Linked DNA regions of Alligator mississippiensis. The protein of the gene in region 2 purifies or fractionates together with the protein of the main gene of each other region. This does not show direct contact. Links are inferred from orthologs where the notes say so. Each region holds a gene or a part of one and is shown on either strand. Other genes may lie near its edges.

Region 1 (16,111 bases), on a different chromosome or scaffold from region 2:
AAGCCAGACTGGGCCTACAAAGCCCCCTGCCCTCACCTCTGCATGCCAGATCCAGCACCTGGCCCAGCTGGTCTGGGGCTGCACTGCATGTGGGGTGGGTGCAACGCAGATCTCAGAGCAGCCAGGGCAGGCCTCACATACAGGTCAACTCTAAGACCCAGGAACAGCACCAGGGCCCAAGACGATGGGCCTCTGCAGGCAGATCTGGCCCATGGGCCTCACTGTTGACACTCCTTCCTATTTCAAAGGAAAATGAACAAAAGAGTCAGATTCTCTCTGCATCCTTGGTCAAATCGTACGTCAGAACAGAGATAAGATGTGCCTAACGACCGGCATCTTTCTTTAATTAGCACTGAGAGTTTGAAGGGTTTGAACTAGCACTATTTTCTGTTCCAAGTGCACCCAATTTCTGCCTAAACTCGTTTCCTTCATTCCCTGAACCAAGAACGTTGTTGTTCCATGGAAGGGCTCGGGGGCCTCCTGGGGAGCAATTCTCAGAACTCCGCATACAAGATGCCCCTAAAATCAAACACCAGACCTGATGCGAGCATCAATACAAAAGAATGAAAGCTAGAAATGTTAACTGGGAGATGTGTTAGCGTGGGCTCTTTAAAACCCTGGCACTAGAACTTGTGCAGTAAACCAGCAGACAGACTATCTACAACTTTGGACAATCTAAAACCCGGAAAGGATTTCTGAAAACAGTTCTCATGAGGTGACATGAGAAAGTGCTTTAGTTCTTTATAAATGGAAAAAAAGGATTTCCTTTGGCATAAGAGTTAGGTCAACACGCTTACTACAATTGTAACGGTGAGCAACCAGCGGTGTTGTAGGCAAGTACCTTGTGTGGCCACTATGGGTTATTTTATTACAGTAACGTAAGGGAGAGGTTAGCATAGAACGAATGTTTAAGGAATGATAAGTTAAGCTGGACAAGGAACTCAAGATGACAAAAACTAAAAATGAACTGCGTACTCCACTGCTTTATTTCATAAAGCAACCTGGCAAACCACAGATAAGCGCAACCTGGCACAAAAAACAGGCAGAAGCCCAGGTCACCAATTTACAAGAGAATGGGACCAAATGACAAATCCCACCCAGACATGCAGTCGGGCTAGAAAGAACCCAAGAGATCTGGTAACTTTGCCTGTACTTCTTTATGAGAGATTGGACCAGGGAACTGAAGTGGGACCAAAAGGGTTACATGCAGCAGACAGGAAATGGATGGCCTTCTCTTTAATGCAGGGGTACAGCCAGACTTCAGGGTCCAATATTCAATGAATTATCTTCACAGAAGGTAATTCTCGACCGCCCCACTGGATCTGTACTTCCCCTTTTCGTCCCATGCATCTACATACTTTAAACATTTTAAGATGCATGTCTGATGACCCCACTGCACACAGCAGCTGTCCTGCTTATACGCCACCATAACACACCAGCGTGGACTTCTGAATTGTTACCAGCCCTAGCCCTTGTGGAGAAAACCCGAGTGCTTGAGACAGCTCAACATAGGAAAAAAAAAAGCATCCACAATTGGACTGATGAATTTAGGGCTGTCTGAAACAGCAGCCACCTCAAAACAAAACCACTAGACGTCCTAGATACCCAGGTCTTTAGACACCCTAAAGTCAGTTCAGAACTAGAAGCTTCAAACAAAGGCAAAGTGCACCATCCCAAGTGCTGCTACTCTGGGCAAAGGCTGCCCTCGCTGTTAGTAGTGAGATGCAGCTTGGAGAAGCAACAAGTCCCTTTTTGCATCACTCCATTTCAATCCAAGCAGATGTGGAAAGTGCACGCTGGAACCCAGAGTCTCCACAGGCTCCATTCACACAGAAGAGATGCTGTACTTAGCTATGCAAATTAAGTGCAGCTCTCAGACGCTTGAAGGCTGCCGACGCAGCTAGGAGTCCCCATTTTGAGCCATCTAAAGGAAGAAAAAGTTTGGCATTTAGCAAGTCTAAATCGGGGTTATTTGACCCCAGCAGTCTTTCCTGTCCAGAGTAGGCAGGCTGGACCCGATGATCTCAATGTCCCTTCAAGCCCTAAACTTCTGTGAAACTTTTTCCTTGAGTTCCTGTCCACAGAGACAGACACACTTACCAGAACCCAGGGAAACAGTCACACTCAGGTATGCCTCCTTGGCATTTCAGCCTTCCCCTACTATTTTCCAATAAATTCCCAAGCATTTCTTCTCTTTCACAAAAGTTTAAAACCTGAGCTAGCTAGGGAACAAACCTGGAGCAGCAGGATTATATCAGACAGGTCAGTTCTGAACCTGCCCAGTGTTCCCAAAACTGACCAGAACTCCAAAAACAAACTTACCTATTTGGGGACAGTCTGACAGAGACGCCCCACTTGCTTTCCACCTCCCCAGACAAGGAATTGAGGCTTTGCAGCTGAACAGATCAGGGAATACCGTACAACACTTACTCCTCGGAAAGCCACAGAAGTGAACAAAACAATAAGGGACTCAAGTTTCACTCCTTTTCCCCCCTGGAAAATGGAAGCAGCAGCCAAAGAGTTTTTGGAAACAAAAGACAGCACAGAGAAGAGGAGCCAATTACAGACCGGAGTCAATGCAGATGATGTTAGAGCACTAGTAATGACATTATTCTTAATTCAACAGGCTCCACAACAAGGGATCAAAAGAGAAGACAGAACACACTGCACACAGAGGGAGCAAACGGACACTCAAAGGCAACATCCACGACCCACCAAGGGACCAATGACAATTTGTACTGGCTCCCAGCTTGCAGATTAGCCTGCTGGCTCATGTCTAGTCTAGCAAGACTGTCACTCCCTCTCAAGCACTAGTCAGCCTGAAGATTCAGAAACCAGGAAGAGTGACTCAACCTCACCGATCAGTTTAGAAGAGCCCAACGTGCAACTTGTAAGTTTTGTAAAAGTAGCCAAAAACTGCCACTGCTCTACCATGCGAGATGAATGTTAGATTCAGAGAGATGTTTCAGGAAGCAGGCAACAAAAATAAATAATTAAAACCTGGCCTTCTACTTCTCCAGTGAAAGGCAGGGGGGGGGGGGGGGGGCAGCTAATCAGGGAAAAATGATTTGTCTTATCAAAAAGTACAGAGGAAGAAAATCTAGCCCAACAGAAATGCAGACTCAGGTTCCTGGTTATATTTCCTCTCTTTTGACCACCATAAAAACTGCCCCAAATAAAAGGAATCTTCCCTTTCCCGTCTTCAGTTCAGAAAGTCTGCTTTGCTAGGAACCGCTGCTATCAAGAAGTAGAACTCTGCCTACCAGAAACAGGAATTTCTTTGGCAAAAACAAAAGATCCCGGCTGTGGGATAAACCATTAAAGAAAAGCTCTTGACTGCAAACAGTAGAGGAAATGAAGTCTCCCCCTGCTGTCACAATTCACAGCAGTTCCACAGAACCAAATGTAGGAGAGTAAAGTTCCTAGTCGGAAAAGTACTGGGGTGGAGTCCAGAAGTGATATGTTGTGACACCTGATCTGTTTATCTGGCTATCAGGATAAAGAAAGTTACCCATAATAACAGACGGGAAATGGAACTTTCTTACTATTTTAGGGGAACGCAGCTGGCTACAATACAGGCAAAAAATTAACTTGCTTTGCTCCATTTCTTCAACTGCCTATTTTATTACTTTCGGTGCACAGCCTGTCTATTAGCAAACTTTATTTTTGTTTCTGTTTTGAAGTCCAGATCCTAACCAGCTGGAACATTCTGTAACACCAGCTTGCCCGCTGTCGGTACCTGTGCAAAATGATTACTGGATTTCTAAACTTCCATAATTAAGTGTGGGGCAAGGTGAGAACGTTCAATTGGCCCAATGGCCTGGTTGGGATAGACTCAGACAAGCATTTGGATACCACAGTGCCCTTCCTCAGGTCTTTGCTGTCGAGTGCACAACTATCGAGTACACAACGTGGTGCGCCAAAGCCCTGCCCTCTCCAGGAGCAGGGAGAGACGGGTAAAACTACCGCATGCCGCCCGCTCTCTTTACATTGTGCCACTCCCTTCAGGCGATGAGACTGGAAACCCCCTCCCACCGGGGATACTTTCCTTCCACACCTTTTCGGAAGGGAAGGAGGGTAGGGGAAAGAGACAACTGATCCCAAACAAGAAAGATGCCCCATAAGCACGAACCCTCCCACCCAGGAATACTTTCCTTCGCCACCTTTTGTGGAATAGGGGGGGGAAGAAGCCATTGACCCCAACTGGGTGTGGCAGGGGGGAGGGGGGGAGCCCCTAAAACTCTGACTCTCCTCCCTAGGGATACTTCCTGTCCCTGCCCTCTGTGGAGGGGGGCTGGGGGGAAGAGACACAAATATCCCCAACTTGGGGGAACCCGTAAAATGCCAACCCTCCCACTCAGGAATACTTCCTTTCACGCTTTCTATGGAAGAGAAAAAAAAAGAGGAAATTATCCCCAACTAAGGAAAAGCCCCTAAAATTCCACCCCCTCCCCCCCCAACCCCACTTTTCTTCCCTACCTTTTGTAGAGGGTGGAAAAGGGGGAATTAACTCACACTAGGGTGGGGAGAGCCCCTAACACATCACCCCTCCTGCCCAGACTGGCAATTAACCCCAACTGGAGGAGTCCCTAAAACACCACCCCTCCCCCCCTACAGATACTTTCCTTCCCTGCCCTTTGCAAAGGAAGAAAAAGGGGGAATTAACCCTAAGTAGGGAGGAACCCCTAAAATGCCACCCCCCCACCCAGGAGGCAAATATCCACAACTGGGTGGATGGGGGAAAGCCACTAAATCATCCCCTCCCCCCTAGAGACACTTTCCTTCCCTTCCTTCTGGGGGGGGGGGGGGAGAAGAGGCAAATCATCACAACTTGGGGGAAGCCTAAAACACCGCCCCCCCCTCCCACCCAGGAAGGCAATTAACCCCAACTGAGGAGATGTGAGAAGCTCTTAAAACTCCAACTCCAACCGCCCCCTCCCCCCCCCCCCCCCCGGTGATACTTTCCTTCCCCGCCTTCTGTGGAGGGCCAAAAAGGGGGGCAAACTGGGGAGGACCCCCAAAACACCACCTCTCCCACCCAGGGAGGCAAAAAAAAACCCCAACTGGGAGGAATGGGGGAAGCCCCTAAAACTCTAACCCCCCCAAGGATACTTTCCTTCCCTGCCTTTTGCAGAGAGGGAAAACAAGGGGGAATTAACCCCAGTTTAAGGGAAGCCCTTAAAACACCCCCCTCCCATCCAGGGAGGCAAATAACTCCAGTTGGAGGATGGGAGAAGCCCCTAAAACTCCAGCCCTCTATACTTCCTGGGGGGGGAGAGGCAAATAACCCCAACTGGGGGGGGAAGCCTCTAAAACACCCCCCTCGATATTTTCCTTCACTGTCTCCTGTGGGGGGGAGGGGAGAAGTAAATAACCTCAACTGGGGGGAACACTTAAAACTCCAACCCCCCCCCGATACTTTCCTTCCCTGCCTTTTGTAGAAAGGGAAAAAAGGGGAATTAACCCCAACTGAGAGGGGGCCCCATAAACACCCCCCCTCCCACCCAGGGAGGCAAATGACCCCAATTGAGGGGGATGGGAGAAGCCCCCAAGACACCCCCTCCCCCCTAGGGATACTTTCCTTCCCTGCCACCTGTGGAGAGAGAAAAGGGGGGGAATGCCAAATGGGGGGTCCCCTAAACACCACCTCCCCACCCAAGGAGGCAAATACCCCAGTTGGAGTTTCAGGAGTTTCTTGTATCCCCTCTGCCCCCCCACCCCTCATGTGTAAGGAGGGGAAAAAGAGAGGCAAATAACCCCAACTGGGGAGGGGGGAGCCCCTAAAACACCCCTTCCCCCAGGGATACTTTCCTTCCCTGCTTCCCATGTCAGGGAAGGGGAAGAGGGAAATCACCCCACCCCCTCCCCCCCAGGGAGGCAAATACCCCCAACTGAGGGGGGGGGGGGAACAGGAGAAGCCCCTAAAACCCCAACCCCCCTGTACTTTCCTTCCCTGCCTCCTGTGTAATGGGGGGGAAGGGGCAAATCACCCCAACTTGGGGGGGAGCCCCTAAAACGCCCCTCCCCCCAGCAATACTTTTGTTCCCTACCTCCTAAGGAAAGGGGAAGAGGAAAAACACCCCAACTGGGGGGGGAGCCCCTAAAACAACCCCCCCCCACAAGGCAAATCCCCCCAATTGTGGGGGGATGGGAGAAGCCCCTAAAACACCCCCTCCCCCCAGGGATACTTTCCTTCCCTGCTGCCTGTGGAGGGGGGGGGGGAGAGGGAATCGCCCTAAACCCCCCCTTATCCATGGAGGCATATACCCTCAATGGGGGGGCGGGGGGGAGGAGAAGCCCCTAAAACTCCAAGCCCCCCCCAACCCGGATACTTTCCTTCGCTGCCTCCTGTGTATGAGGAAGGAAAGATGCAAATAATCCCAACTGGGGGGGGGGGGGCTAACCTCCCCTCCCCTCCCCTCCCCCCCCCCCAGGGAAGCTTCCCCCCCAGCTATTTATGGGGGTGCCCCCCCAGTCACGTGCCCGGCCCCCCCCCCGCGGCCCGGCGCGGCCCTCACCGATCGCTGCAGCTCGCCCAGCCAGCAGCTGGCCCGCTCCTTGCCGCTGGGGTCCGGGTCGTGGTAGAGCGCCTGCACGGCCTGGTACACGACCTGCAGGCTCGGCTTCCCCCCGCCGCCCTCCATGGCGCCGGCTCCGGCTCCCGCCCCCGGCTCCAGCTTCGGCTCCGGCCCCCTCAGCAGCCGCCACCGGCGCGGGCCGCCGCCGCCACCGCCGCCATGTCCGCGCGCCGCCGCGGCCGTTACCGGGAGGGGGTGGCGGGTGGGGGAGGGGAGGGGGGAAAGGGCGGTGTCCCCGTCAGCGCGGCCCGCCGGGAAACACGCGAGCCCCTCGCCGCGTTCCGGCCGCGCAACGGTCCCCAGCCGCGCCAGCCCGGGGGCCACGCCAGCCGGAAGGGGCCGCGACGCACTTCCGGCGGTGCCACGGGGAAAGCGGGCCCCCGCGTCCACCCGGAAGTGGCAGCAAGCCCCTCCCGCCCCGTCGCCATGATGTGTGTGCGCGGCTCCCCCCACCCCCCCCCCCGGCCACGAGTCGGGCCGCGTCCTCCCCCCCCTCCCGGGTCTCCAATAAAATGTCCCCCGTCCCCTCCCGTCCTGTCCCCTCCGCCGGGCCTCGGCCCTGCCCCGGGCGCGGGGTCTTTGTCCGGGGGCAGCAGGGCCTCCCCAGCCCCGCCCTGGGGCTGTCGGGGGGGGCCGGGGTTAGTCCGCGCTTCGGCTCTTCCGCGTGAGGACGGGACCTGGTGCCCGGAAGCGCGAGCGGAGCCGCGCACGTGGTCCCGGGGCGCCGCGGGGGGCGCCGCGCGCTCCCACCTTCCCGGGGGGGGGGGTCTACACGCACCAAAGACACCCCCCCCGTATGTGTGTATAATTGTGTGACAGCATCTATAATTGTGTGTGTGTGTGTGTGTGTAGTATATGGATTACCACCTTCATGGGGGGGGGTGTCTACACGCACCAAATGACCCACCCCCCCCCCGTGTGTGTGTGTGTGTGTGTGTGTAGTAAGTAGACCGACACCTTCATGGGGGGGATGTATAAAATGTGTGTACATGCACCAAAAACCACCCCCCAAGTGTGTGTGTGTGTGTGTGTATAATTGTGTGTGTATAGTATATAGGCTGTCACCTTCATGGGGGGGGTGTCTACACGCACCAAACACCCCCTCCCCCTGTGTGTGTGTGTGTGTAATTGTGTGTCTGCATATATAATTGTGTGTGTGTGTGTATAGTATATAGGCTGCCACCTTCATGGGGGGGGGTGTCTACACGCACCAAAGACACCCCCCCCCCGTATGTGTGTATAATTGTGTGACAGCATATATAATTGTGTGTGTGTGTGTAGTATATGGACTACCACCTTCATGGGGGGGGGGTGTCTACACGCACCAAATGACCCACCCCCCCGTGTGTGTGTGTGTGTGTGTGTGTGTGTGTGTGTGCATACATAATTGTGTGTGTGTGTGTGTGTGTGTGTGTGTGTGTATAGTAAGTAGACCGGCACCTTCATGGGGGGATGTATAAAATGTGTGTACATGCACCAAAAACCACCCCCCAAGTGTGTGTGTGTGTGTATAGTATATAGGCTGTCACCTTCATGGGGGAGGGTGTCTACACGCATCAAAGACCCCCCCCCCCCGTGTGTGTGTGGATAATGTGTGTGTGCATATATACTTGTGTGTGTTGTATATAGGCTGCCATCTTCATGGGGGGGTGTCTACACGCACCAAACACCCCCGCCCCCTGTGTGTGTGTGTGTGTAATTGTGTGTCTGCATATATAATTGTGTGTGTGTATAGTATATAGGCTGCCACCTTCATGGGGGGGGTGTCTACAAGCACCAAAGACCCCCCCCGTGTGTGTGTGTATAATGTGTGTGTGTGCATATATACTTGTGTGTGTAGTATATAGACTGCCACTTTCATGGGGGGGGGTGTCTACACGCACCAAACACCCCCGCCCCCTGTGTGTGTGTGTGTGTGTGTGACGTGCATACATAATTGTGTGTGTATATAGTAGACTGGCACATTTGTGTGGGTGGGTATAATATGTGTGTACATGCATCAAAGACCCCCCCCCCAAGTGTGTTTGTATGTAAGTTGTGTGTATAATGTGTGTGTGTATGTGCATATATAATTGTGTGTGTATAGTATATAGATTGGCACCTTCATGGGGGGGTGTCTACATACACCAACCCTCCCCCCACAGTGTGTGTGTGTGTAATTTGTGTGTGTTTATACTATATAGATTGGCACCTTCATGGCGGGGGGGGGAGGTGTCTACACGCACCAGACAAACGCCACTCCCCAAAGTGTGTGTGTATATAGATTGGCCTTTTGGGGGGGTCCCTACATGCACCAAAGACAAATGCCACCCACCAAAGTATGTGTGTATACAATGTGTGTGTGTATAGTGTGTGGGTGTGTATACAGTGTGGGTGTGTATGTATATGTGTGTGTGTGTACACACAAACGTATATATTACACACATATACACACACACATATATTATCTGCACATCAAAGAGCAACTCGCAAAGACACTGTCATGGACCTAGAGCAGGGGCGGGCAATTATTTTGGGCGGCGGGCCGCTTACTGAGTTTCGGGAAGCCACCAAGGGCCGCACAACAGGCAGCCAGGAGCAGATAAATATTCATTTTCTACACTTTTTAGGGGCCCCGTGGGCAAGACAGAATGGCCTGGTGGGTCACATGCGGCCCGTGGGCTGCATTTTGCCCTCCCCTGACCTACAGGAACAGATGTCCACCTTCAGCTTCCTCTGTGCAAAATTAAGTTTATTTTCTACCTATAGGGATTTTTTACCTTCTTTAATTTGCCCTGAGCCTGAAGAAGGGCATGTGCACCCGAAAGTGTGCAGAAAAAGATTTATTTATTTTTTTTGCGATTTCTTAGTTGGTCTAATGAAAGGTATATCTAAACCAAGAACTAGTTTTGCATTTCTTTACACACACACGCACCTTGAGGGGTATAAACACTAACCATAAATATTGATCAATCTATCGCTCTGTCTACATGTTCACACATTTTGATTAGTCTATAAGGTGCAAATCTATTTTGTCTCCCAATGGCTGTTGGGAGGCGTGTCTAAACACTAACCATATATACCTATGTGTGTATGTCTGTGTATTTATATAATGTGCAAATCTATCTTGCCTTCCAATATCTTTTTTGGACCAACTGTATCATTCAGGAGAGATGTTGTACAAGCTTCAGGGCATCAGGTGACCTTCCTCAGGTGGAAAGGCAAAAAAAAATGTAATAGATGATAGGGCTCTTGCTTGTGTGTGTGTGTACACACTCTCTCTCCCACCCTCTCTCTTTGTATATATACACACACCAAAAAAGATATCACAAAAAGCTTGCCTTTCAACTATTTCCTGGACCATCATGGGTGCAACACTCCAGCCCTACTACTTCATTTTTGTCTACCTTGTTCTCCAAGTGCTGACCAAAGTATAAACTTGATGGGATGAAATGCTGTTGAAACTTTGTGGGGGCAGGGTGCTGGATTATGCTAACAGCTGGGCAAAAGTGGCTCATCCATTTCCTATGCCATGAACGAGCGCAGAAGTGATTTTTTTGTGTGTGGTTTACAACTTCCCCACCAAAAAGGCCATCACTTGCATAATTTTCCTGCTACTGTATATGACTAAAAATTGAAATTCAGATAAGTGATCCTCTATTAAGAGAGAAATAGAATTATAATCAATTTTTCCCTCTCTCTGTAAAGCACCTTTCATCTCAAAAGAGTATTAAGTATGAAAGTGATATATACACAGCAAAATCACCTCACCTATTGCTATGAAGGAACCCCCTGATACCAAAAATGGGGTTGATTTAACAATGCGTGTTGATACTGCACAACAAAAGAATTCCAGGTCCAACTGAAATTGCACTGGAAGCTGAGAGAAGTAAAACAATTATGCAGGCTGGTATTTTGCAAGAAGCCAACCACTCTGTTATGATGAGAAAGTTCAGTCAGATCTCCAACATAAGTGTTCAGGGGCTGGATTTCATATCTCTGAAAGGCAGCGCCTTCATCAGCACCGCACCCCCTTCCATGGGTGGATCTACAATTTTGAAAAGCAGGGTGCAGATGATCGCATAATCACATATAAAAACAACACATATTTTTCTCTGGTTAAAAAGAAACTAGAAGCTTTGTTATATGCTAGGGACCTAGGCCTGGATTATTTGGTTTAAACAAAACCAAATATAACCTCATTGGAATGAGTTAAAAATGATCTGTGAAATAGGAGCTTTGCTACCACGAGCAGCGAACGGGCAGCGGGATTTCAGAAGAAAGCCTTGGCTAGCTGGATCGGTACAACATCAAGACCATTAAAAAGAGGAGAGGGTCATTAACATCCCTGGAATGAAGAGTTTAGAAGGAATCAAGTAGATTATAATGAGTTATTCCATTAGAAATGCTGCTGCCACTGGTAGGCACTTGGTTTTAAACTTTGGGTGGACCATCGCCACCCCTATTTATCCGTCCCCCTTATGCCAAGCTCCTGTTTACTTCGGTACTCTTAACGACTGCTTCTTGTAGGAGTATTTTTAGATGGCAAGTGTTCAACTTCTGACGAGATTTATTCTCACTTTATTTGTGAGAGGCAATTAGAGAGTGAGGTGGTGTGACTGCTGACCAAATCTTGGGCCTTACACAGAAGTAATGTAGAGCTGAAGGAAATCTTTTCTTTGCATTCTTCAGGGGCTGGTTTTCAGAGACCCACTTTCCTTTCGCCTACTTTAGTCCCGTACCAGCTGGCTTCTGTGATCTGCACTGGTGACACTTTGGTTTGCTCCTCTTTCATTGTTGTCAGTCATTTTGCCTGATAATAAGCATAATTGTAGCACCCCTTGTTTTCACAAGGAGGTGACTGCAAACACGTATTAAATATGAGTGGGAAGGGAACGAGAAGATGACTTCTGAGCAGCATCCACATCAGGAAAGCTGAGTTTTATTCTTATATACCACTGGTGCTCAACCATTTAGTCCTGCAGGCTGGATGAGTGGTGCAGACCCAGTCTGCAAGCCGGACCCCAGGGCCCCATGCACCTGAATCCAGTCTCACATTGCCCTGATCCTGTCTCATGCTGCTCAGATCAGTTCTCATTCACCCGGGTCCTGCTTGACAACGCCAGCTCCAGCCTTGCACCCCCTGTGTCACCCCTATCAGTCCCCATCCACCTGGATCCCCTCTTATGCCATGCAGATTGGGCCCCGCACACCTGGACCTGGTCTCTCAATGCCTGGATCCGGCCCCACGCACTCAGATCCAGCTTTGTACCATCCGGATCCAGCCTCACACTGACCTAGCTTTGAGTGCCTGATCTAGGGCACAGAGCCACGCTACCTGCCCACGGGGCTCTTCATGGGTCCAGAAATTCAGCAGCAGTAGGAGCAGCACTTAACATTGCCACCACTCCCCCACTGCCAAATTTTCGGGTCCAGGTGGGCTGGATGACGCAGCCCCATGGACCAGGGGGTCAAGCACCCCTATTATGTACAAATAAGCAAATGACCCCAACTCAGCTCAGAAAGACTGTGGTCATAGTGGGTCAGTAAGCATCGCTCATTCTTTGGTTCTTTGGTTTTCTGAGACTACGGTGGGTGGGGCGCCTCCCTGCATGACACTGCTTTTCCTACATAATTGTGTGCTAGTTCCTGCTTGCCTGGTAGTTTTGCAACCTTGAGGCAGTGCATCACAAGGGCATGTTCAGTGAAGGGCACGTGACAAAAGAGCAGAGCTCCAGAGAAACGAAACAAAGCAGTCAGCCACAGACGGGTAAAACCCTACAATTTCCCCTGTAGAGACACAGAGGGGAAGAATCAGAGCTTCTGCAGGACATATTTCCATAAGTTAATATGTTGTTGTGTGTCCACCAAATGCCTCATGCTGTACAGAACTCTGGGCAGAGTCAGAGGTCATACCTTAAACCCGTTTCCTTTCTTAAGAAATTACTTTTGAAACTTCTTGGGTGAACTTAGTGCTGGAGAAGTATTGGCCCTTCTGCTGAAGCAGGAAAGATGCTGAGCTGATAGCACAGAAGGTTTAAATCCAGTTGCTTCCTTTAGTCCACCACCCGTGTATCTCACACCTGACCTGGAAGCCCTACTGAGCTGAGATACCGGGTCAGTCTCTCTCACCCATTCAGTGTTGCTCTCTCCGTTGTGAGACTGCATTTAAAAGGGTCCATGTCACAGAAACGAGCTGCTAGGAAACGGTCTGAGGTTTACCAGCTGACCAAATGGTGATAACTTTTCATCCACTAAAGTCCTGGCACTGGATTTAACTAGTAACCTAGAGAGCAGAGCATGGGTGGATCTAGGATTCAGAAACAGGGGTTCAGATGGTGTCACACATTATCACAGATTTTTCTCAAGTGAAAGAGAGACTAGAAGCTTTACTAATATAGTAGGAGCCTAGCACTATATTATTAAGCTTAAGATCAAAGCACAAACAAATATAACTTTATTGGAATGTGCACTCATTTGCCAGGTCAGGTGTGCCCAGTTTTTTGGCAGGCATGCCACGTTTAGCCCTGCACTCCCTGCAAGTGCCCGTTCGATCCCCTTCCCTTATCTGACCTGCTGCTCAGCTTTTTGTTCCCTGTGCCTGTTCTGCTTTTTGCTGCTGCTCTGCTTTCTGTTTCCCTCCCTATGCTCCATGTCTGATCTGATGCCTTGCTTTCTGCTCTCCCACACAGAGAGGCTGCCCGTGCCACTTCTGTCACCTGTGCCACAGGTGTGCTAAACAATAGAGTTTAAAAAAATAGTCAAAATATGTTGTTTCATTGGTCCTGTAGTCACTATAGTTAAATGCACATCTTATTCAGACTCATAAAACAAAATCTAGCCTCCTTGAGCATCCTGACAGTGCATCCAATACTTCACTGTCAGTCGTTTCTACACCTGAATTACTATTACCACAAACGAGTTAAGGTTTTTATCTAGCGCTGGAACCGACCGGCAGGGGCATGAAATAGAAAAGAGATATTAGCAGGAACGGCTAAGAGACAGCATCATTGCAAAGGAAAGGATAGTTTGAATAGTGGAACATCAAGACCATTCAAAAGGAGAGAAGGTCATTAACACCTGTGGAGTAAAGAGAGATGCCAAGGGATCAGGTGGATTATAATGAGCCATGAATTAAACTGACTCCCTCTGTGCTGCCTGAACAGAAATGCTGCTGCCCCTCTCAGGCAGTTGGTTGTAAAATTTGGGTGGAGCAGGAATCAAAGGGGGGGTGCACCACTTTACTCTGCCTCCACATCCATCCCTGGATGAGAGGAAAGATGGTGAGAGTTAATTAAAATTAAAAGCTTTAAAATCAGGTAGCACTTTGGGAGTCTGTGAAGAACACATAGGGTGGGTGAGATGTGGGGTCCAAGACATGTTTCTAGTGACAAAGGCATGTGAAGAAAGGAGAAAAACTCATACTGGGGCTAACTAGGGGATGTGCCAGGCTTGCAAAGAAGAAAGTTGTTGGAGTCATGAAGCAGCAGAGAGCTTTCTGCGATAGGAGCCATAGGAAAAGAAGAGCTGGGAGGGATCTCTCAAGGTCATCTACTCCAGCAACAACATACTGCGCAAGCTCACAAATTCCAGGTGGGGAGCACATCCATCCACCCTACACTGCCTTAGCACTTTGCTTCTCCGTGGCTGAGTATGCCTCCACCATGTAGGGACGCTCAAGTCACAGTAAACATATTGATACCAACCTAAATGATACATGTAGAATTATAACCGGCTGCCTAAAACCCATCCCTGTTCCTTGCCTATATGTACTATCCGGCATAGCGCCCGCTTACATTAGGAGGAAAGTAGCAGACGACATTGGCTGGCAGATACACGAGTCAGATGACTGCCACCAGCTAAATCAGTGGTCTCCAACCTTTTTAAGTAGGAGATCACTTCTGGAATTTAAAAGCAACCCAAGATCTACCGCGTGCCGCCCCACGCCAGCAGGTAAGTCTATGGGGAGGGAAGGTGGGGAGCAGATTGAGGCGGACGGAGAAAAAATTTATTTCCCCCAGCACGTACGTCTGTGGGGGAAGGGGGCAGATTGAGACCCGAGCCCTAGCCCTACTCCCTGCCTCCCCTCTGGGGCCTTAATCTGTGCACCCCCCCCCCCCAATGGTGGTGAGGGAGGGAGTGGGGCTGGGGCAGGGGCCCTGCACAGCTGGGACGGGGCGCGGGAAGGAGCCGTGAGCGGCTCGTCTGGGGGCACAAAGGGAGTGCTCTGCCTGGGGGTGGGGATTGGGCCATGCTGTGCTCAGGGTGGGTGGCAGTGGCGCTGGGAGTGGGGTTGGGGGGATTACAGCAAATTTTTGGGAGGCTGTAGCCCCACTCCCAGCACCACCACTGCAGCCCAACACCGCCGCCAAGAAGAGCCTGGTGCCTCCCCAGCCCCGGCCTGCAGCCCACCCAGCCCCACGTGCAGATCCAGGGGCACGTGCCTCCCATGCCCTCCCAGGGTGTGCGGCCCCCCCCCTCCCCGTGCCCCCCCAGATGAGCCACTTGCAGCTCTGTCCTGTGCCCCACCCCAGCTGTGCAGGGCCCGCCCCTGCTCCAGCCCCACTTGCTCCCTTGCCGCTGCTGCAGCTGTCTGTGCTGCCCTGCATTTGGGGGGTAGGGGGCATGTGCCCCCCCATCTGTGTGCGGCGGAGGCGGCTGCCATTGTGGGTTGGGCTTTGTGCTGTGAGCCCTGCTGCAGCTGGTCCAGGAGCACCATGTGCGTCCTGCCGCTGGGCTGAGCCGCACTCGTACATGGCCAGCTGCAGCAGGACTCGAGGTGCAGTGGGCAGCAGCAGGCACCTCTGCTGCCTCGCCCAGTGCAGAGATGGGGGGGGGGGGGCATGTGCCCCCAGAGCCTCCATCGCAGTGTGCCCAGTGATGGTTACCCCCACCCCCGTGCTCCTGGATGAGCCCCCTGGCTCCAATCCTCCAAACACCTGGCCAGCCTGGGGCCCCACTCATTTTCCCCTGTTCTTGTGTGCCGCACTTGGTCTGTCTTTCATCGTGGGTGCCTCGACCTTGCCCCTGCCCCTTCCCTCCCCCACAGATTGACCTGCTGCACTGTGGGGGGGGGGGTGCCCAGCACCCCCAGCCCAGGATTGTCCAAAAGAGGCTCCCCAGTTGGCCAGTCAATCGTGATCAACTGGTTGGGGACCACTGCACTACATGGACATCAACCAGTGCACCGTTGTCTCTCATCAAGAAATAGTTTTTGTCCTCTACCACACCATTAACATCACCAGAATCAGCCAGAACTACCCTCTGGCAAAAAGAATGGGAGAAACTAGGCGATAAAGCTGTTGAATGGAGCTGGCGAGGAATTACCCCCAGTAAGGAGCTAGCATCTGGCTCCAACTACAAACGGCATACATGGCGGAGCCTGAACAGATTAAGAGTGGGTTTCAGAAGATGCAACTTTCTCACGAAATCATGGGGCATCTATACAACCGACCAACGTGTTTGTCAGCAGAAGCAAACCATGGATCATCTCCTGTAGCACCACGATGCACCCCACAAGATCTGGCAACACCAATGCCAGAAGCAGTGGCCTG
Region 2 (15,639 bases):
CAGATGTCTCAGAGACTTATCCTGCCCCTAAGCTGGCACTCAGCTGCCTTTCCAATTCTGAGAGAAACACCAACTCAACTGATCCTACATTTGCAAGCCAGACTGGACACAGATAGGGCCAGTGTTGAACTTCTTCCTCTGTGCTGCTTGGAGCAGGGCAGTTAAGTCCCTGGGGAGCACTGTGGCTCATTGGTCCTGGTCTGCTAACAATAGGAGGTCTGAATCAATCTCGTTGCTACTAAGCTTCTACTGGAAAACCAGCCGAACATTCCTGAAGGGTTCCTCCCAGCAGAAGAAAATCCTCCCGCAAAGCGAACTACTGTTCTATCCAATCACTGAACTTTTCTGCTTGGCCTCTCAAAAAAAGCCGTATAGAGTTCACTGCATTCTCTATAGCCAGGGATATGGTAACAGAGCTTTAAACGTCCACACCTGCACTTCCTAATGCGCTCCACCACTCTTTCCCTGACCAGTGCAGAAGAATAACCTACAAACAAAGCCTAAGAGATCATCTGAAATGGAGGAAGTGTTTTGAGAGCATAGTCCAGATAGCCAGAAGACTTCACAACACAGGATTTAGAGCACACTAGCCAAACCCTTCACACTACCACCACACACGCACACGCAGTTAATAGAGCATTTCCATCATTTAACATTGGCTAAGACAAAAGAAGAAGAAGAAGACCACAGAATAAAGTAATGGGCCATTAAGAGTTCCAAACCATGCAGGTATCCAGTATTCCTGCAGGGATCAGGACTCAAGTCATTTTGTTTAAACAATATTTAAAAAGCAACAAACATGAGAACCGTGAATGATATAATTGGTATTTATTGGAGTAATGAGAAGCAGTGAAGTTGAGACATTTGGTCTGGTGCCTCACAACACTTCTGAGTCATTCCAGTGTCCTGGGATAACTCTCTCCCCCCATCACATCATATATTTGGCAAACACCTCAAGCACCTATGAGGTGGGAGACTGCTTCATTAGGCTCGGACTGAAAACACTGAAGTTCTCAGAGAAGCTTCAGTCCGAGGAAGTCTGTAATAACAGTCAAGCAGGCCATGCTTGTGCTCACTCAAGGAGAAGCCTTCTCCCTAATACTGCGGGGCAAGAATTGACAACCATCGTGCCAACAGCATTGAAGAATGGGTGCGACAGTTGATTCACCCTAAAGGACGCAAGATTCTGGCACAATTCAATAGACACAATCCACAAAGGAGTATCTTGTGCCATCACTGTGTATCAATAATAGTTCAGGCTGAAATGTAAATAGGCAGCAGAAGCGGAACCCTCATCACATGAAAGAGAAACTAAAACCACAGAGAGAAACCAGAACCAGATGCAGTCACCATTTTTACCTGCATCCAAGGCACCCTTGTAATGGTGCTGAAGAGAACTCCAGTTAATTCCTCTCCCCCTCTCTTTACCTTGGGAGCATAGTCTAGTTTTCCCAGGTATTAGGACTACACAGGGTAGGACTTTCACAAATTAACAGCTGCTAAACACTTTGAGTCTAAGACATTGAATTATTACACTCTATGTTCCACTTAAATCAACAACAAAGCAGAAGAGGGATTAGAAGTACTCACCCAATGTATTCAAAGCTGAAAGGAGGTAAGAGAAATTAAAAACCTAGAACCCTCTCAAACTCATTCTGGATTCTACTCACCGAGGATGCACTGCTACAAGACCTGGTCCTGCGTTTCCGACAGTGATGCTGGTGCTTCTTTGCTCGCTGATGTTCTCTGCCCCTCGATCTCCGCCAGTGTCGTGAGTGAGTAGCATAATAATCCTCTCCAAAAGAAGGACTTCGCTCTTCAAACCGGTAGTTGTCACTGTCCCGTCTCTCTCGGTACCTCCTGTGGTAAGGCATCCTGTCCTGGCTGCATTACAAATAAGATCCCATTTATAAATCTGGGAAGAAAGGGCACACTGTTCAAAAACTACAGCACAGCTGCAAGCAAATGCAACCTGACGATGCATGCTCTTATTCCCTCTGCCTGGCAGCAGAGAACATACCAAAGCAGTTCTTGCTCAGAGCTTTGAGCCTAAGTAACTCAAATTGAGAAGCTACAGAGAAGGGCAAAGGTGAACAGGGGTACAACAGGGCTTCTGTATAAGGAGAAGCTCAACAGAGACTAGGATTTTCCAGCCAAGAAAAGAAACTACTGAGAGGAGGTATGAGAAAAGCCTTTAAAATCATAAGCTCAGGATGTATATAGAGATTTACTATTTACAGTCTCGCACAATCCTAGAATTATGGGACAAGCAATGAAATTAATAGATAGTTGGTTTCAAACAAAAGGCAGATTCCCTCCCCCTGCACCCTCCAGTGTATAATTAGCTTGTGGAACACCCTGCCACACGATGTTGTGGAGGTGGATAGTTTAACCAGGTTTACAAGAGGATTGGACAAATTCATGCAGGATAAGTCCCTAAGCATGTATATTAAACACAACAGTTAAGGGTGTAACCTCAAAATTAGGACTCCCTATGCTTCTGCAAGCTAGAAGCTGCAGGGCAGGAGGGACAAAAAGTGGATCAGTCTGGATATTCCCTGCTTAAGTACTCTTTCCTTTGGCATCTACTCCGCTGCTGTGAGAGACATTATACTAATTGGATAGATTGCTTGGTCTGACCCAGCATGGCAAGTTTTCACATTCTAAAACAAAAAGGACTTCTAAGGAACTATGTGGCAATATCATATTTAGATAATAGGGGGCATAGCATTTGGAGCTGGTTAGTACATGTCTGTACTTACCTAGGTACTCATATAAAACTCCTCACCATGCTATATGGACATTTTTCTCCCCAAGCCTCCCTTGTGGCTTTTCTGTTTCAAGCAGAACTACGGATTTTTTTTGTGGTTTTTTTTTTTTTTTAATGCAAGGAGAACTGAAGCACAATGACTCACCCAGGGAAATGCAGGATACTTGGGATACAATGAGACCCAATCATGATCAGTGCCTGGATACCACACCATCTCTTACTAAGGACTCAGGACACTGCAGCTTAGAGTACTGTACAAGTGCACACACTATCTCTGAGAGCCAAAAAGAAGTTCAGTCTGTATAGTCTAGTTTCTGGCCTCTGGTGACAATGGTCTATAACACCAGTTATAAAGTGGATAAGGTGGATGTTAGGCCATCCTGTTACCTCACTGTGTAACTCAGTGCCAAAGGATTTTAGACAGTCCTTTCACCTTTGCAAGATAAATGCTTGCATAAGGGAAGTCTTTATAAATCAAAGCTTTGATTTCAGTAAATGGTGCAGAGTAACAGGAGTGTTTTACAAGGTCCCTCTTCTGGGTTCATTCCAAAGAAGATGTGGGAGCTGTTATAGCTCCAAGCTAGAGCCACGGCTCTTTATTTCCAACTGTAACAACTCATGCTTTTAGCTCTGAAGACGCCCAGTATTTTGCCAAAGAGGGTGACAGGCATATTTGGCTTTTCAAATAAATTCACTGATCATGTGCTATCACCACTTTCAAAAATGGTATACATTACTGGACAAAAAGGCAGTATTTTGGTAGGAAAGCTCACAGTTCATAGAACTGGACCATGTACTATATTTTACACAAGGTGAGCATATTTTACATCTTAAGAGCAAACGTTACTAGGTCAAGGCTAGTACTTTTGGCATGTAACTGACTGCAATTTGATTACATTAGATGATGCGATTGTCTGCATTATTTAATCATTATTCTGGGTGCCACTCATGTAGGCTGGGAGGGGATCTATTTCATTTTCCTCTGTACTGAGGATGTCAGCAAGGCAGCCAACTATTGCCAAACAGGTTAGCGATTCTCATAATGTAGGCACTTCATTCAATGCTGGACCAAGACCAATTTATTTTATGAAGGCTGCCAAACAGATGGCAATAACTTTAGGTCACTACTGAACTTAGCCAAAACTGAAATACAGCTCCAACCCCAACCCCAGTCCTGTAGGCAGGCCAAAAAACCATTATCTACAACTTTCCCCATTTGCTAACTCTTTAGAGATGCAGAGAGGATTCAGGGGTAACTAAGCAGCACAAAAGTGTATAGTTACAAACACTTAAAGAACCCACACCAAGCCTATATGGAGATAGTCATGATGTAAAACTAAACAGCAAAGGTTTTCATCAGTTAAGGTGGTTTCTTCATCCAGAAGATCACTATTCAATGTAGTCCATATGAAAGAATAGCGAAGCTGGAGTAACTAATCTTTAACTGCACCTGAACAACCTTGTCCATTCAGCAAGTGTATTCTGCTGTGCATTAATCATGTCTTAGCTTTCCATGGACTTCAATCCAAGGTTAAGAATGAAAGCACAGCCAAGAAAGTGGCAAAACAAGAGTTAAAGAATGTAATATTAGGCTAGGTATTCTTCTGCTGTACCTGTAAAGCTGACAGGCCTGCACCTGTGCTAGGCATCTCATCTCAAACGCTCAGATGAGAATCAAAGGTTTATCCAAAAACACAACAGCCATCTAAGGCAGACACCTGCCCACTCCACAGCAACTGCTTAGAAGACAGTCCAAGCCTTTGATAAAGCCTGCTCTCACCTTCGAGATCGTGATCTCCTTGAAAGATCCCTGCGAGGTGGGTATCTCAATCTGCCTTCGTATTCTCTGCTGCGAGACCTCTTCCTCTTCCATTTGTGATTCATGTAGGTCTCTTGCTCCGGGGATCGGTATCTCTTACAGTGATGCATCTGGGGCGCAATAAGGAAGGCACTTGAGTAAAAGGTATCAACTGGAACAAACTGTTGACAGTTTGCAAGTCTCATGGAGCTCCCTACTTATTAACTAAAGAAGGTGAAAACAAAAAGCCATGAGGAGATGAGAGAAAGAGCAACAAAAGTCATCACCAACATTAGTAATTACAGTTATAAATAAAGAAGTCTCCGCAATGTGTGCAACAGCAGGGAACAGTTGCACATCACCCTTTTTTCCAATCTAATACCTATTAACACCTACTACTACTCCCACTGAAAAACAATCAGAATATTTTTCTGGATTTTTCCACTCTCCACTGAGATTTCACTTTTTCCCTCATGTATTCAGCTCTCACACCATTTGCAAATATTTTATAAGCTAGAGATATACAAAAGTATTTTAAGCAAATAGGACATGTGATTGTAAGAGTACAGGGGTGGGGATAAGAATCTGGAACTAATTTAACTCCATTTATAATGGGACTAAATTAAATCAAGTGTTCCTTTACTACAATTAAACTCGGTCTTGATCAGCAGACCAGATGGCCTTTGTGCAGACCTTCTTGCTTTTTCATCATTCGTTTGAACTCATCCTGTGTTAATAATGCCTGGAAAGCCAGCACTATCAAAAGACATGAAATTAAAAAACATGGTGGCTAGAATAATGGCCCAATTAATGGCCTGTGCCCCCATGTTCCTCTGTCCTGCTCCAATATCACTAACTAGAAATGCCCCCAAGAGGATTCCCGTGCAAGAAGAAATCCTCTGGTGGCGCAGAGCAGTCACGGTAGCTATTGCATCTGCCTTACTTGGGAGAAGTAAATCTCACAGAAAGGGATGTGGCCTGGATACACCTACACAAGGGATTCCTGGCAGCTTAAGCAGCCTTGTGCAGTTCATGCACGAGCAGATCTTCTGCTCTCACTCCACAACCCCGTCAGCACCACGTATCAGATGGCAACTGAGCATAGAAGTCATTTCAGGAAACCTGGATCCAATTTTGTTTGAATGTAATATCACAATTATCAGTTACGTTAATACCCAAGAAAAGAATGCAAACCTCTCAAACCAGCAGCTCAAGATTTAAGATACTAAACCTGTACTACAAAACTACCACGCATTAAAGAAAAAATGCCCACCAAAACATTGTTTAAAGAAAAATCCCATTGAAAAGTCAGTTTAGATTCAAACCCAGAAGTGTCCAAACTCAAATAGCATAGCACTGTTATAATGTAAATAGGCATTAAAATGAAACTACTGTCTGGGGCTTGTAGTTCTGCACCGTAGAAAATGAAAGTCAGTCAGATGCAGAAAGGTCAAACTTTGTTTAAAAGAAAAACACACGTCAGGATCCCTTTATGGAACGGCTTCTTAACCCGTGTCTCTCCGCTGCCTTGTATGGATTGTGTGGCTCTCTCCTGCTCCCTTATTTCTAATTCATTTGCCCTTTTCTGTCCACCTCCCCTTCAAAACATCCTCCCCTCTTTTCCTTCAGGGTGGATGGCCTTTACCAGCTCCTCATCACATATTTGCCCCTCAACCTTCGTTGGCCCCCATATCCAGTGAATGTCCCTCCATCGCTTTCACTAGAAAGCATCAGTTTTGTTCCTGCAGGCAGCAACAGAGGTGGGCAGTGGCCAAGCTAAGCCACTACCGCCTCACAAGCAAGCGCCAGCCAAGAGAGGGAAAAACTAAGCAAGTAATCCCCATGCCCACAGCCTTCCCTTCCTTTCAACTACATGACTCCCCCATCTTTTTGCCTGCTTCCTCGTTTGCCCTACGCACATCACAAACACAACCCAAATCACCACGTGCCAAAGAGGCTTCTAGTTTTTGCTTTGACAGACGCCAGCCAGCAGATCCATTTTCAGCGCAAAAAACCTTTTACGAGGCCTTAATCCTTAACACAACCCGCCACCGCGCACGGACACTTGATCCTGGCCTGGAAGCGCCAAAGGACTTTGACCCATTTGTATCCTTGACGTGGCCGAAAGCTGCTGAAGAGGACTTGGCTGCCAATCCAAAATTAAAGCCCTCCTGATCCCTCCCCACCACAATGACTTTTTACAGCGTTGGCAGCATCTCACCGCAACGAATGCCTCGGCCCTCCACAGCCAGGACCCGGCTCTGCTGGTGCAGGAGGGCTCGGGATGCGCAATCCTCATCGGTACCAACCCCTGCTGTCCCGCAGGATTGGTGCGACGCACGCACGCCCCTGGGAGCATACGCAAAGCCAGCCCGAGTTTGCTTTTGGCAGGCTGCCCAGGCCAGTCGTTTGTCTGGCAAGGGAAAGGAGAGCTCCCGTCGGCCCTTGAAAACAAAGGGGATTCCCCCCCTCCCGTTAAAGCTTGAGGGAAAAAGCTGCCCCCCCCCGCGGCTGCGGCCACGACCCCCCGGCCCTTCCCTCGCGTCCGCAGCTCGGCGGTCCGGCGGGCGCCGCGCCAAGGGACAAAACGGGTTCCGCTCTCGACCTTTTTAGGCCCCGAGCCCCCTGGGCAAGCGCCGCCTCGCTTCTCGGCCCCGGCGCCGGGCGGGCACATCCCATCCGCGCCGTGCCGCTGCCTCCGACGCAGGGGTTGGCGCCCTCGTTGCCCCGGGGCGCGGGAGGCGGCTCCAGCCAAGGCGCATGCGCGTGAGGGGAGATCCGCGGAGGGGGCCGCGGGCGGGGCGCTGCAGGGATCCTCACTTCTGCCGCCCCCCCACCACCCCCGAGGGCCGGATGCGGAGCCGCCCCCTCCCCCCACACTCACCGCCGCGCGCCCCCTCAGCGCTGTGCTCTCGGGCCCAGCCAGGCCCCAGCCGCTGCTTCCGCTTCCGGCTGTCGCCCCGCTCCGACGACGACGCGCAGTGTGCGCGCGCAACCGCCTCCTGTCGCTAGAGCGGCGCTTCCGGGGGCGGCCCCTTCCGCGCGGCGCTCTAGCCGCCTTCTTGCTGGGCTTGGAGGATTGCGGAGCTGGGCCCAGGGCCGGGGGGGGGGCGGTGGGGAGCAGGGGCAGCCCCTTAAAGGGGCAGAGCGCTGCCCTGGGTCACCCTTGGGGCTCCCCAGCACCGCACCTCCCCTCCCCTCCCAGCCCAGGGGGTCCCCAGACCCCACTGCCCCTCCCCCCAGTTTTGGATCCCCCCTCGCCTGCGGGCAGAGTCTCACTGGTCCACGCCCGCAGGCTCCCCGGTGTCCCCTTTCCTTGTGCTTCACCTGCCACCTCGCCCTGCTTGTTACCTGTCCCCCAAGCGCCCTTGACGCAAACCCAGGAGCCGTCCCCGTAAGGGCGGAGGGCAACCACTGTTCTGGGCGCAAGGCCCACGTGTCCCGCACGCGTCAACCAGGCCTCGTGACTGACCTGTGACCTCACTCCCGTCCCTCTTTTCTGCTGATTTGCCCCAAGAAATCAGTTCCTGTATCTAGCGGTCTCCCTTCTTCCTTCCCACCACCTCCCGGGGCCTAGCAAGCCGACCCCGCCTCTCGAAGCGTAGGAAGTTCATTTGGGAGGGACCTCAGGAGGTCACATCTAGTCCAACCCCGTGCTCCAAGCAGGACCAGCCCCAACTACATCATCCCAGGCAAAGCGTTGTCAATCCAGGCCTTCAAAACCTCCAAGGATGGAGATGTCACCACCTCCCTAGGTAACCCGGCCCAGTGCTTCACCACCCTCCTAGTGAGAGTTTTTCCCAATATCCAACCTAAACCTCCCTTGCTGCATCTTGAGCCCGTTGCTCCTTGTTCTGGCACCTGCCACCACGGAGAACAGAGGTCAGTTCTTGGTTCAATGGTGAGGGACGGCTTTGTCTCCTCTGCCCGCTGCCTGGTGTTGAAAATCATGCACGGTGGGGATCTCACGAAAGCAAGGGCAGAGAAGCTGACGGCACGGACCAAGACGTGTATGGTTTGTGGGTCGGTCAGTGATAGTCCTGTAGTGCTGCGACCTGCAAAGGGCAAGTGGGTGGGAAGACACGTGTGGGGCTTTGTGAAGAGGAAAACAGCAGTTAGTGTAGATTTGAGGGTATTCTCCTTAATGCTTGCTGCATGTTGGGGTGCCAACCCGCCAGGATTGCCCTGGAGTCTCCAGGAATTAGATATAAATCTCCAGGAGACGGCTGAGAGTCACCGGAAGATAAATGATAGGGCATTCATTGAAATAAATATATTAAATGTTGAATCTGATTTATACAGTAGTCCAGTGGGTTTTGAAAATGTAATAATCATGTGCGTTTGCCTTCCTGGCCTGAAGCCCATGCACCTTAATCTGTAACTGATATACACAAGCATGTGGGCACGCTCGTGTGTGTCACAGGCACGTTGGCATTTGGGAAGCCTCCCGGAATAGATTCAGAGTTGGCAACCCTACCTGGATGGTACTATCCAGTTGTGTTTTGTAAGGGTAATACACCAGTGCTCTTTATACACATTAGTGCGTAACGGTGGTTCTCAACCTTGTTAGACTCAAGGTCCCCCTCAGAAAGTGCACGCTCTTAGCTTTCACCCATTTTTGACTATGGAAAAATAATAGAGCAACTCTTCTGTGACAAGGGTGTAGGTTGCAGCCGTGTTGGTCTAAGAACATAGGCAGACAAGGTTCTTTGGGTAAATCCGATATCTTTTATTTGAGTTGTTTTAATAAAAGATATTGGATTTACCCAAAGAACTTTGTCTGTCTTCTATGAACTCAAAACGACCGTAGCAGCTCAGAATGGTTTTGAAGCTTTGGTTTCCTGTTTGATGCCTCTGCGTTTATCTTGTGAATCATGTTTGCCTGCCTAGCAGTGCTACATTGAGTGGCACTCCTGAAAGACTCTCCAGGCACCCCAAGGTGCTGCAGCACCCCGGCTGAGAATAATTGGTGCATACAGTAAATTCTGCTTTGTTGCGTATTGATTATTTGCCTACTTTCCAGTAGGTCAAAAAACATTTACTATCTCTTCAGTTAAACATCACCCAATTATTTACATAATGGGTTTTTTTTAGCATATTTTGGTTTATTGCATAAGCCAGGACTAGAAAAAGAAAGCCAAAGAGAAATAATGCAATGGTTGAGTAGAGCAGTACGAAAAAAGATTTCCTCTTGCAACAGATGACTTACCATAATGTTTCAAGATATGAAATATTTTTGTAATCTAGTTGTTTTACAGTGTATTTTACTTTTTTTGAGATACATTACACATGATTCCTTTCATTAACCACCCTATTGCCTATATAGGACTGTTCATTCAACGGTATGTCTGAGAGAAGGAGAATTGATCAGTTTTGTGTGAGGTTTCCTTATTCATTACACACGTATACCATCACATGTAGGCCTAAGATGTAAATGAACAGCAATTCCCATAGTATTTCATTTATTCAGCACCCAGTCTTTAAAACTGGACAGAAAAATGTATGGAATGACTTGCAGTTCAGTGCCACATTAGGATCAGGAATTATGTTATCTGTTTCTGTTGCTTTTTAATGTATTTTTTGCAATTTTTTTCTGTTCCATTTATTAGTGTAGTCCACTTATTTGTACAGTTTGGATGGATGAATGAGTACACAAGTAACAGAAACATACTGCATTTATTCTTGACATTTCACCAACTGTACCCATTTCAAACAAATTCAGAAGTCTTGGTTCCCTAAATCTAAAATCACCCACATCTTAGTCCTTAAAAAAGAAGCAGAGCTGGAGTATGGCATGTAGATCTGGAAAAGAGTCAACATCTGAATACATTCACACCCAGCTCTGCCACTAACTGATAGTGTGGGTTCAGGCAAGTCACTTAGCTTCAGCATTCCCATTTGTCATGTGGGTGCCATTACACTAAGGCAAAATCATTGGTGTAATTCTGTTGAGTTTGCTAAATTACAACAGGGATATTTTTGGCCCCATATTTCTATCTAATCTCATAGGCTTGTTCCATGAATCAGTGTTTGCTCCACAGATACTGTAGCTGGTCGGTAAAAGCTCAAGGTTCTTGTTCTTTTTCTACTGAGACTAAATAAAAAGGGAAAGGTCCCAACAGCCCACTGAGCCCAGTCATGACTGGCATTCAATTGACCATGCCAGAATTTGGCTAAAATGCCTTTATTAAATCCAAAGGCCAATAGCAGTTTCATAGATTCATAGATTCATAGATTCATAGATGTTAGGGCCGGAAGGGACCTCAATAGATCATCGAGTCTGACCCCCTGCATAGGCAGGAAAGAGTGCTGGGTCTAGATGACCCCAGCTAGATGCTCATCTAACCTCCTCTTGAAGACCCCCAGGGTAGGGGAGAGCACCACCTCCCTTGGGAGCCCGTTCCAGACCTTGGCCACTCGAACTGTGAAGAAGTTTTTCCTAATGTCCAATCTAAATCTGCTCTCTGCTAGCTTGTGACCATTATTTCTTGTAACCCCCAGGGGCGCCTTGGTGAATAAATACTCACCAATTCCCTTCTGTGCCCCCGTGATGAACTTAAAGGCAACCACAAGGTCGCCTCTCAACCTTCTCTTGCGGAGGCTGAAAAGGTCCAGTTTCTCTAGTCTCTCCTCGTAGGGCTTGGTCTGCAGGCCCTTAACCATATGAGTTGCCCTTCTCTGGACCCTCTCCAGGTTATCCGCATCCTTCTTGAAGTGTGGCACCCAGAATTGCATGCAGTACTCCAACTGCGGTCTGACCAGCGCCCGATAGAGGGGAAGTATCACCTCCTTGGACCTATTCGTTATGCATCTGCTGATGCACGATAAAGTGCCATTGGCTTTTCTGATGGCTTCGTCACACTGCCGGCTCATGTTCATCTTGGAGTCCACTAGGACTCCAAGATCCCTTTCCACCTCTGTGCCACCCAGCAGGTCATTCCCTAGGCTGTAGGTGTGCTGGACATTTTTCCTCTCTAGGTGCAGCATTTAGCATTTCTCCTTGTTGAACTGCATCCTGTTGTTTTCTGCCCACTTGTCCAACCTATCCAGGTCTGCCTGCAGCTGTTCCCTGCCCTCCAGCGTGTCCACTTCTCCCCATAGCTTTGTGTCATCTGCAAACTTGGACAGAGTACATTTCACTCCCACGTCCAAGTCACTGATGAAGACATTAAAGAGTATTGGTCCAAGGACCGAGCCCTGCAGGACCCCACTGCCCACACCCTTCCAGGTCGAGACCGACCCATCCACCACGACTCTCTGGGTGCGGCCCTCCAGCCAATTCGCCACCCACCGGACTGTGTAGTCATCCACGTCACAGCCTCTTAACTTGTTCACCAGTATGGGGTGAGAACAGTTGTACAGTTTCTTTAAATGAATGGGCTAAAATACTGTAACAGAATGCGAACATGTTAGATAACAGCATTGCAATACTTATAATGACCACATCAGTGCAGTAAGATTATCATATGCATTGATCATACACTTGTAATAAGTCTAAGCTCAGGGATCCATGAAGGCTCAGACTGGCTGGCTTCGGCACAGCTTCACTTTGCATTAGCAAAGAAACCCTCCCTCTCACTCCATTTTACGCCCCTAGATTTCTCACTACATCATTTTCTTTTCAGTTCAAGAAACTAATCTGATATAGCCGGAAACTTAACATGTATTTATCTTGCCTTTTCCAAAACAATGAAACTTCCTTTGGTAGCGTTCAAGTGATGTTGTGGCCATGCTTTTCCAGGAAATATGAGGAAGGCTACCCGAAAGCTCATCTAAGTCTATCTTAACCATGAAGTTGATCCATTCTTGATGAGTTTTTGCTGTAGACACCCAGGGCTAAAGCCTGGCATGCCATTCTGGCACCATGTTACCCACCTTTCCTTCGGGAGGCAAGATTTTTTGGGTAGATGTGATATTTTTTATTAGACCAACTGAATAGTTGGGGTAAAGTTCTTTTTTTAGATATCTTTTATTAGACTAACTGTTAATAAACTTAGACCAATTTTATTATCTTTTATTATTTTAGATAACTTTTATTAGACGAACTGAGTAGTTCGAAAAAATAACTTTTTTCCAGCTACTTAGTTCATCTAATAAAAGATATTACATCTACCCAAAGAAGTTTCCTGCCTATGTCCTTTGACCAACACAGCCACAACCAAAAACCCTGCCACCTTTTCTTCTGCATTTGCATATCCATGGCTCTTCACACTCCCTTCTAACAGTATTAGCATTTTCATTGTTTTGCTGTGATTTCCTCTCTGTCTTTCTCAAATCATGCCTTCTTGGGATTGTCAGGCTCATACCTGATAAAACATTTCATCAGCTATTACAGGGGTGGCCAAAATGCAGCATGTGTGCCACAAGAAGCACAGGCAGCCTCTGTGTGTGGCATGTGGTGGAGGGGAAAAGCAGTACAGTGACAGAGCAGAAAGCGGAGCATGATGCAGAGGAAGGAGACTGGGGTGGTACTCAAGTTTGGGGCTAATTTGTAACATGCCTGCCAAAAACATTAGCCCCTGGTGACCTGTTGCGTTGCATTTAATCATTCCTACAGTCACCAAAGAGGCAAGTTCAGCAATAGCAAACCATGACCATCTGTGCTAGGTTACTTCTTCCAGGGAGTTGTTTTGCTAAAGATAGTTTGCTTCTTTCCCCCATGAAAGGGACTCTTTGCTCTTGGCTTGGCTGTTAATGTAAGAGTGTGTGCGCCAATTCAGGGTCTAAGTTTTGGCCTCCGTCGTAGACGAGTGTAGGTGATCTAACTTGCCTGCAGCACTGGGTTCCTATAGTATGTAATCGTTGGGATTTTGCTCTCCCTGGCCACTTTGAACTGCTCCCCCCACACACACACTTTCTCCCCTGCCACACACACTTTCTCCCCTGGTGTCTGCTGTGCCATGGCTTATGGGCCACAAACTCCCCCTGTTTTGAAATTCCCCTGCACCGTGGCTTCTTGCAGCCATGTGGCAGGGGGACTCTCTATCAGACAGTGTTTGGTGCTGTAGATACGGGGAACAGGACTCACTGCCTCTTATCTGCAGCACAGGCTTGCATTCCTCTAACTGCACTCACCAGATAATTGGTGTTGCCAAGTCTTGTGATCTAGCCACCAGTCTTGCAACATTAGGTATCTGCTTAAAGCCCCCAGCTCCTGGAGTCATGAGATTAAATTAGCTTGCTCTTTTTTTTTAAGGAAGTTTTTAGCATCTTGGGTTGTAGAGAAAACCCTGAAAACATGACCCTTGAGTTCTCAAAAACTGTAAGGCAGAAGAAAGAAGCTTCTCTCACTTTTCTTTATAGATAGATAGATAGATAGATAGATAGATAGATAGATAGATAGATAGATAGATAGATAGAGTGTGTGTGTGTGTGTGTGTGTGTGTGTGTGTGTAAATCTCACAATATTTGTGATTTTTTTTTAACACTTAGGTTTAGCGGCTTTTATCCATGGGTCTGGCAACTCCTACCAAAAATGACCAATTCAGAGAAGGGGATGGATGGATGCTGGACATTCAGGAGAAGGGGATGGATTCTTCCCAATGAAGTCAGTCCTCCCCCTTGAGCGCAACAGTCCTCCCCCTTGAGCGCAAATGTGTCAATGAAAACACTCACAAAGGTATAAGTGGATGCCAACTATTAATAGCCAACAAGTCATGTATGGTATGTGAGAGAGATTTGATGGAAACACTGGAAGGTTTCTGAAGGTGAGGAACGAAGGCGTGCTAATGTCTGTAGCGTGACATACCAAACAAAGCAGCAGGGGAAAGACACTGAAACATGCAGCTGCAAACAACCCCAGCCTGTGGCAAGAAAACTGCTGTGTGATACACAAGATTTTCCACTTGTTGCATTTCAAGACAAGAAGGAATAAAGCATTGAGGGGCAAACTGAAGTGGCTTAAATATTATTTTTTTTGATAATTAATATTCAAATGGGAAGTTGCTGTCTCTCCCAGCCCTGTCACTGTCCTGTGATGGGATTTTAGGCAAGTCTGTTTATTCCTCTATATTTTTTTTCCACTTCCACCTTTTGTGTCTTGTCTGATTAGATTGTGGGCTGTTTGTGGCTGCCAGTTCTGTCTGTTCCTGTATCCCTCCCAGCACCTTAAAAGCATGAAGTTGAAGGAATATGGATTTGTTTGTTTGAAGAACATAATTACTGTGAGAAGCAGAAAAATGGGTTCTGGGGTTGTGCTGAGAGGGCTGAGTTCAGCAGTGGGGTGGGCTTGGCTGGCAGGTCTGACTAGATGCATACCCTATGCCAATACTATGCCTTTCTACCATTGACAGAGACTCTGCAAAACACAGATCCACTGGGCTTGGTGGATGCCAGCCTCTCCTGTGTAGAAACTCAGTGGGTCACAACAACCCCACTAGTACCCAGTTAGTGGAAGGGGCAGGCTGGGTGTTTCCCTGCTTGCTGCAGTTTTACTTTTGTTACTGGAGAAATGTAAGGGGCAGATGAGAGGACCCAGGTGTGTGCAGCTTCTTTGAATGGGACAAGGCAAGCACAAGCTTGCCTTGATCCCAGTGAGTAACTCCCCAAAGGCTGGTTCCCCATCCTGCCCCTTCCACCCCTCTTCCACTGGCAGCCACCTGCATTTCACAATCTCGGTCAGTCTATCAGGAGAGGGGAAATGGGCACTTTGAGGCTTGTTGCCTGCTTGGTTGCTGTGGCAGCAGCAGTCCTGTGTTCCCTGGCTTGGGCAGACGTAGTGCATGCAGCAGCTCAGCATAAGGACTAGACTCCCAGGAGAGCTGATCTCTAGGGATTTCTGAGGAGCTGTGGGGGGACACTCACTGACAGGTAGGTGGATTTAAGCTCTGCTCCTCTCACTAGCCCCAGGGTTGCTTCTATCCAGAACCTGGAGCAGGTGGATACAGCTTGGGGCTTTCCCACTTCACACTCACTAGGCAATTGTGGCACTTCCTATTGAATGCCCTGTGATGGCAAACACAAGCCTTTTGGAACAGAGATGGGGGAGAACAGCATGGATCAAATGGTGTTTTGGGGGGGAGGAAAGGTTCGTCCTTTGAATTCTCCCCATTTGAGGATCAGGTGTTGCTGA

Evidence for each region.
Region 1: the proteins of CLK3 (region 2) and TNPO3 purify together in Homo sapiens (affinity purification with mass spectrometry; 4 studies listed by BioGRID and IntAct, counting the BioPlex papers as one, with this or other methods). This does not show direct contact. The link is inferred for Alligator mississippiensis from reciprocal best matches to the Homo sapiens genes CLK3 and TNPO3.

Annotation. Positions count from the first base shown.
Region 1 is NC_081827.1:4,060,318-4,076,428, forward strand, and holds the start of TNPO3 (transportin-3), read right to left. Parts: upstream 6,903-16,111; 5' UTR 6,645-6,902; coding exon 6,519-6,644; intron 1-6,518. UniProt on the Homo sapiens protein: Importin, which transports target proteins into the nucleus. Specifically mediates the nuclear import of splicing factor serine/arginine (SR) proteins, such as RBM4, SFRS1 and SFRS2, by recognizing phosphorylated SR domains.
Region 2 is NC_081834.1:41,765,333-41,780,971, forward strand, and holds the start of CLK3 (dual specificity protein kinase CLK3), read right to left. Parts: upstream 6,982-15,639; 5' UTR 6,928-6,981; coding exon 6,790-6,927; intron 4,700-6,789; coding exon 4,551-4,699; intron 1,885-4,550; coding exon 1,671-1,884; intron 1-1,670. UniProt on the Homo sapiens protein: Dual specificity kinase acting on both serine/threonine and tyrosine-containing substrates. Phosphorylates serine- and arginine-rich (SR) proteins of the spliceosomal complex.